Linked DNA regions of Yarrowia lipolytica. The protein of the gene in region 1 purifies or fractionates together with the protein of each later gene. This does not show direct contact. Links are inferred from orthologs where the notes say so. Each region holds a gene or a part of one and is shown in the gene's direction. Other genes may lie near its edges.

Region 1 (3,930 bases):
TCGCGCGTGGTCAATCATGGTTCGGGCATCTGCAGTGAGACCGGACATGGCACAGCCAATGTGTTTGTCGATTTCAACGATCTTCTCGATGGATGATGCCTCAAGCAGGGAAGAGGTGATTCGCTTCTCGACTCCGAGAACGACACCATCCTTGGTGGCGACACCAATGGCTGTGGATCCGAGCTATGTTAGTTGGTGTTATTTGGGATGGACCTATCTTGCTTGATGGCACACGGGTGAGTGGGTGTGATTAGGTAAAAGTGGCGACACAACGACGATAGATCGCCAATACCACCAGATTAATGATACAATCGCACTTCTGAGTCGATAGCTCATACTGATCGTTCCATTAAGATGGCCAAATAACCGATGATGCGGTTGCTGCTTCTGGCTGAGCTCAAACACCCATGTCCTCATTATGAACCCGTCATCACTATTGTCGTAATTGTGCAACATCTGCACATTGAATACTTACTTTGATAGCCTCGAGAGAGTACTCGACCTGGAAAAGTCGGCCTTCGGGAGAGAACGTGCTCACTCCTCGGTCGTATTCACTTCTTGTAAGGAACATGCTGTGTTGTGGTGATGATGGTGGCAATAAACTGTGATGCGAAGTTGGGGAGTATGGAAGCTTACTTGGATGACCCGAAATCGCCACAAGGGAACATGAACCACGATAAGGAGACGGTATTGTAATTAATTAAAAAACTTCGAAGTAGTGAGAGAACAATTGATTATGATATATATATACATATTGACCTTACTGAGATATCATCAACATTATTAGTCAGCAAACGACAACGTCCATCGACCGATTACGTGACTTTTCATGGTAAGTGCACCAGTAACTGAAGTAATCGCTGGTAAACTTTTTTATGATACTTGCTGAAGCCATGAAACACATATTTATAAAAGTTATAATTAAATGAATGTATATGCAGAAAAAAAAAAAAAAACTTGTACGTCCACGATGTTTTTCAATGTTCCCTAAATCTTCACATCACCGGTACAGTATGTACTTGTACTCGTACCGCTCCTTACTACAAGCTACAAGTACACTCGTACTGTATGTCTTTGTACAGTAGCTACAGTACGTACACCCAACCTAAAATAAACAAACGCGAACGCGACAGGACACAATTCGGCTGGGTCTCAGGCTTCTTTTCTACAACCGGGAAAGGTGCTTCTCGATTATTCTCTACGCCAATCTGATTAATAACGGTCGATTTATCAAATGGAAGTGGACGACCCAAGGCAAGGCCAAGGCCATGACCAGGGCCTTAGTGGTATCAAGACCAAGAAGAGTACCATCACAACGACAACTACAACTCAACATATCCGCTCTCACTCTTCTCATCCACAGCAAGAGGCTCCTCTGTATGTTCCAAAGGTGTCTCTTAACCCTAGCACCTCTCTGCCACTGTTGGCGTGCAGACTCATGCCTCAACCAAAGTGTTCAGAGGTGACAAGAAACACCCCTCGACCAAGAAATATTGAGACATACGCTCTGGATGTTCAGGAGGTTCTGGTAATGGAGGATCTGCTTAATGTTCTTATGGGCCACGAAGGTGTATACATCAACTACAGTGACTCTTACAACCCCCGACTTGAGCTCGATCGACTCAAAGGTCCTGATTACAGAACTGCCAGAGGGTTGGATCCCTCTTTCAAGGATTTTACACGAGCGTGCATCAAGATCGCGAGCACATACGTGTCATTGTCGGCTTTTGTTGACAAAATGACCCGCGACAGAAGAGGATTGGTCAATGGTGCCCTGGCAGCCTCTATCCGGAAGCTGCTCAAGGAGTACGTCAAGCTGGCACAAGGACTTGAATATTCCCTCAGATTTGAATCCGGCTTGACACTTCACAAGTTCCATTTAAAATTGATGACAATCGGAGGTATCTTACATGAGACCCATGAGCTCGCCAAGGATATCCTCAGGGAGGATGAGGTGCGTTTCCATAATGCCACCTTGGAGCCGAGCAATGACCTGGATGCACTTCTTGCCAAGTTCCGTGAGAACAGCGTGGAAATCGACACTCGAGGTTACGGAATCTCTCTTAATGGTTCGAGTATGTGTCGAGGAGGAATCACATTGAAGGTGATTGCAGAGAGACTAAATGCACATTCTGGCGACCCAACAGCGAACCAACTTCTCACCAGACTACTCAACGATGCATCCAAGCCATACCTTCAAATGTTATCGCGGTGGATTTACCAGGGTGTAATTCTGGATCCTTACGGAGAGTTCTGCATCCAAGAGAACGGAGACCTTGCTACTGGAAACGAGGGTGCATACGATGAGTACTGGGAACAACGGTACTCTGTGCGCAAGGACGAGTTACCCCTACTCTTGTCCCAATCGAATCTCCTCGAGAAGGTCCTTTTGGCTGGCAAGTATCTCAACATTGTGCGTGAGTGTGGAGGAGGAGACACCTCGAAGGACGCAGCTGTTAACTGGGAGTCCATCCAAGACCCGGCGTTAGTGCCCAGCATTGCATCTGCCAGTGATGAGTCCAACAGAGCCCTATTATCCCTTCTGCTCTCATCTCATAACCTGTTCGACCGTCTTGCATCTTTGAAGCATTATTTCTTTCTGGACCGTGCTGATTACTACATCAACTTCCAGGACATTGCCTGGACTGAGCTTGCTCGCCCGGCTAGCCAGTCCTCTGTGACAAAGTTGCAGTACCTTCTGGATCTATGTCTACGGCAGCCTGGTTCAATCACTAGCACTGACCAATACAAGGACGACGTGGTTGCTTCCCTGGCACCAACAACAGTCTGGGACTATCTTTTGCAGATTGTGTGTGCCACTGATCCCAACGAATCTGGCTGGGAAAGCGACTCTAGAAAGATGTCCATGGATGACATGCCTGTTTCGTGTGCTTTTCAGCTAGACTTCAAGGTCCCCTTCCCTCTCTCTCTCGTCATCTCCAGACGTGCTCTGATTCGATATCAGATACTCTTTCGTCATCTTGCCGAGCTGAAGAACCTTGAGCGACTCCTCAGTATCGTGTGGCTTGAAATGGCCAAATCTCGACACTGGCGCTACCCTACGAGCGACGAGAGACTCCACAAGTGGAAGGCTTTTTCAAACATTCTTCGAATCAAGATGGTGGAGTTTGTGAAACAACTTCTCTACCATTGCACTGCTGAGGTCATCGAGCCCAACTGGAAGCGACTACAGGAGAAGTTCAAGTCTGCTTCAAATGTGGATGAACTCATTGCTGACCACATCACCTTCTTGGACACTTGCCTGAAGGAGTGCATGCTTACTAACGAAAAGCTCATCCGGGTGCAGCAGAAGATCTTCGGGTACATCCGGTTCTTCGTGAACACCATTCAGGCTCGAAGTCACTTCCTTGAGATCGTAGACCCGTCTCATTTGTCCGATTTCGAACGAAGCCGACTGCAACCTGTGTATGATAGAAACGGAGCCACTATCCCCAACGACACGCTGGTAGAGCGGATGAATAGACTTGTCAAAACCACAGACACCAACTTCAGCCATAGCTGCAAGGTGTTCAAAGATGCCTTGGAGTTCTTCGCAGCAACTGAAAGCACATCTCTGTTGGCCCTCAGTGCTCGTCTGAGTTGATTTTATGCAACGATGTATATAACCGAGGTTTTCAATAATATATTTATTTATTTTCTAGATTTTTTCACTGGCTGTATTTCTCACAACTTGGGAGTGTTTTGCTCCCCATCAGCAGGTACTTAATATACTTGTAAGTATGGGTTCCCTCTTTTAAGTTGATGCACCCGCCCAGCTCTGGAGAATGCACATCCACGGACGCCGGATGACATTAACTGCCGACACTACAGCACCAACTACAGCACCTTCTGCACGTCTATCCACGGGTCGCCAATCTTCAAACGAAGCTGTGTCCTCAACCATGACCTATGACATCCTTCTTCAACTAC
Region 2 (3,490 bases), on another chromosome or scaffold:
AAATGATGCTAAAAAGGGCCAAAAAACGACGTCATCAGCCACCCACTCTTCGGCACTCCCTCGCTAATCCACTGCCCCCTCAGAACTACAACCCTCAGACTTCATGTCTACCGCAGAAACTTTCATATCCTCTGTTTTCATGACGTCATGAGCTGCTGCTCTCACGCACCTCCCCAGCAACCTAACTTCCGGCCTCGCCCACGATCGAGCCAAGGGGTGAAGAGAGGTTCTTCAGGCTTGTGCGTAGATCCTCGTCTGCACCTGTAGATCTATCTTGGTCGGCATACACCCGAGACAAAACACTTTGTACAAGCACATCAGTACAGTACAGGCAAAACTGTGTCTGGCGACAGGGTACCTCCTTGGTGCTCAAAGATAGTAGTAATACACCTCGCTACCTCTATCCCCCACATTACCAACCAATACTCTCTACTCTACTACCCTCCAATCCTCTCTACTTGCCCAATTACGTCACCTCTCTGAACATTCGGAAGATCCCTCGCATGTAGAATAGACTCCTTGCCAAAGGGTGCAAATCAGTGCAAAAGACGTCCAAAAGAAGAGATACCGGAAACAGACACACTCGTGTAGATCACGTACACTTGTGTCAAGGTCACGTGCCACTCCTAAACGGGGTCAAAGTGGTTTCGCGATTGTGAGACTTGATTATACTGTCTAATCCAGGGTTGTATGTGTTTTGCAGAGGGAAAAAGTTGGGCAAATCGTCAAGGGGAAAATTGACGCAGGGGAACAGGACATTAATAGGCACAAGCACTCATCGAACACTTATCGCGTGAGGTTTATACCTAGTTCGCTAGACTGTGGTGTTGTAACCGTAGTAGGTAAGTAGTGCCGGAACACACACACGAAAGGCTTGATATCCAGCGTGTGACAAAAATAATGATACCGTTTGAATCAGAAAGATGCACTGATTCTCGTGGTACAAAAATCAACCTCTCAAGACCATTACTGATGAAGTTGGTGACTACTCCACCTTAGGATGATGCAAACATCGCCATCGCGTGATGAAGTCAGGATAACGACAAGGAGAGGTTCGACATAAAAAGAAAAGTGTTTTATTAGATTCAAAAGGGTCTGGTTTACTCACAGTACAATTTTTGTCCCGGTCCGAGTAGTATTTGTAAAGTTGACATAATTTCTCCAATCCAAACTAACCATCCAACAAAATAACCTATATTTACTTCACTTTAGTCAACAAACATATCCTTCTCTAGAATGGTCAGTTTTATAGCTAGAGCTTGGGGGATTTTTACAGAATGTATAATACACCCGAAATATGATCTCAAACTAGTCACTTTTCTCGTAAACGTCTCTCATCACTCTTCACAATGCCCCCTACTTCTCTCCTATATTTCCCCATAAAGTTGTATCAGCGTAAAGTTTAAAAGTACACGCACCACTTGTCTTATCACTTCACATCACGGCCCCAAACTCGTCTCAGACACTCAGATGCCACGGGAAATCATTACCATCCAGGCAGGCCAGTGCGGCAACCAGATTGGCGCGCGTTTTTGGGAGCAATTGTGCCGCGAGCACGGCATTTCGCCGGACGGCACGTTTTCTCCGACTACCAACACCTCCACTAACGTGGTAGACCGCAAAGAGGTCTTCTTCTACCAAGCTGATGACACTCGCTATGTTCCTCGAACGCTGCTACTGGACTTGGAGCCACGTGTCATCAACTCCACCGCTCTGGAGTCCCCTTATGCGCGAATCTACAACCCCGAAAACGTGTACATGAGCGCCGACGGCTCTGGAGCAGGCAACATTTTCGCCTGTGGCTATTCGGCGGCAGCCAAGATGGCAGACACATTGTTAGACATGCTGGATCGAGAAGCAGACGGATCGGACTCGTTGGAAGGGTTCATGCTGCTCCACAGTATCGCAGGAGGAACAGGTAGCGGAATGGGCTCGTTTCTGCTGGAACAGATCCACGACCGGTACCCCAAAAAACTGATTCAGACGTATAGCGTGTTCCCGAGCTCGTCCCAGGTCTCCGACGTGGTTGTGCAGCCCTATAACAGTATGCTGACTCTGAGACGACTGGCTGAGTATGCAGACTCGGTGGTGGTTTTGGACAATGGAGCGCTGGGAAACATTACGGCGGAGGCTCTGAGAGTGCAATCGCCGACCTTTGATCAGACGAACCAGCTGGTGGCAAGCGTCATGAGCGCCTCTACAAGCACATTGAGATACCCAGGATACATGCACAATGATCTGGCGTGTATTTTGGCGTCTCTGGTGCCCTTTCCTCGACTGCATTTCCTGTCTACGGCCTACACTCCGTTTTCAGCCGACGTTTTGGACGCCAATCCTTCTGGAGGGTCTTTTGCTGTCCGAAAGACCACAGTCCTTGATATCATGAGACGACTACTACAGCCCAAGAACAGAATGGTATCTGGCTCTGTTTCTAGACAGTCTCGATACGTTGCTCTGCTTAATATCATTCAGGGCGAAGATATTGACCCTACAGATGTCCACAAGGCTCTGTTACGAATCCGAGAACGAAACCTCGCGCCGTTCATTCCCTCCACTCCTGCCTCTCTGCAGATTTCTCTTACCAGACGGTCTCCATACATTCCCACGTCCAAGTCGCGTGTTTCGGGTCTGTCTCTGGCTAACCACACATCTATCACATCTGTGTTCAAGCGAACCATGGACCAGTTTGACAAGTTGTATCGAAGACACGCGTTCTTGGATCAGTATAGAAAGGAGGAAATGTTCAGCGATGGACTTGGCGAGTTTGACGAGGCCCGCGAGGTGGTCAATGGTGTCGTTGAGGAATACAAGGCGTTGGAGCCTTTGGGGGAGTAAATGGACAGTGGCATTGGTAAAATGTGGTTAGGAATAAAATGATTTTCATGATATCACCTCCGACAGTGATTAATATGAGTAGAAGGCTGGGTTTCTAACCGGGGGTAGTTAGGAGTTGTTTATTTTAAGTAATAGTTGGGATAATTATTGGGTTTGTTTGTAGTTTTTGTTGAGCTTCTGATAGAGAAGAAAAAAAACTGAACTCGTCTGAATTTGATCCCAATGAATGACGCAGTTGCACAGAATTCAAGTACGATCTATATCTGGTCAACTATCGGTACAAACACCTTTTTTGTGACTATTATTTCATTCAACTGACTCCAACTAGTTACCTTCACTACATATCATGATCTGCCTGTCTTCCATGTCTGGGAAATCGTCATCAACGAGTACCACAGGGCTCTCCATTGCTCTGACAATCTCCATCATTGTTCTGAAGATTTTCATCATTGCTCTGAAAATCTCCATCATTCCTCTAACGATCTCCACCATTGCTCTCTTTGCCACTACGATTCCGAAAGGTCCCTCCGGATGGATTCGGATCCCCTTGAGTAACAGAAACCCACAGTCGGTCTCTTGGAACGGCATGGAGTCTTTGTATGTTTTCCAGGTCCCGAGGTTGTTCTTTTCCTTCTCCAATCTTGTCAATCGGTCA

What was found.
Region 2: the proteins of YALI1_E03449g (region 1) and YALI1_B09448g purify together in Schizosaccharomyces pombe (affinity purification with western blotting; 3 studies listed by BioGRID, with this or other methods). This does not show direct contact. The link is inferred for Yarrowia lipolytica from reciprocal best matches to the Schizosaccharomyces pombe genes alp4 and gtb1.

What each region holds. Positions count from the first base shown.
Region 1 is NC_090774.1:343,730-347,659, forward strand, and holds YALI1_E03449g (uncharacterized protein), read left to right. Parts: upstream 1-1,234; coding exon 1,235-3,604; downstream 3,605-3,930. Other genes in the region: YALI1_E03439g (uncharacterized protein), read right to left, coding at 1-183, 476-571; YALI1_E03476g (uncharacterized protein), read left to right, coding at 3,910-3,930. UniProt on the Schizosaccharomyces pombe protein: Component of the gamma tubule complex that is required for the regulation of both interphase microtubules and mitotic bipolar spindles.
Region 2 is NC_090771.1:942,873-946,362, reverse strand, and holds YALI1_B09448g (uncharacterized protein), read left to right. Parts: upstream 1-1,470; coding exon 1,471-2,835; downstream 2,836-3,490. Other genes in the region: YALI1_B09426g (uncharacterized protein), read right to left, coding at 3,160-3,490. UniProt on the Schizosaccharomyces pombe protein: Tubulin is the major constituent of microtubules. The gamma chain is found at microtubule organizing centers (MTOC) such as the spindle poles or the centrosome, suggesting that it is involved in the minus-end nucleation of microtubule assembly.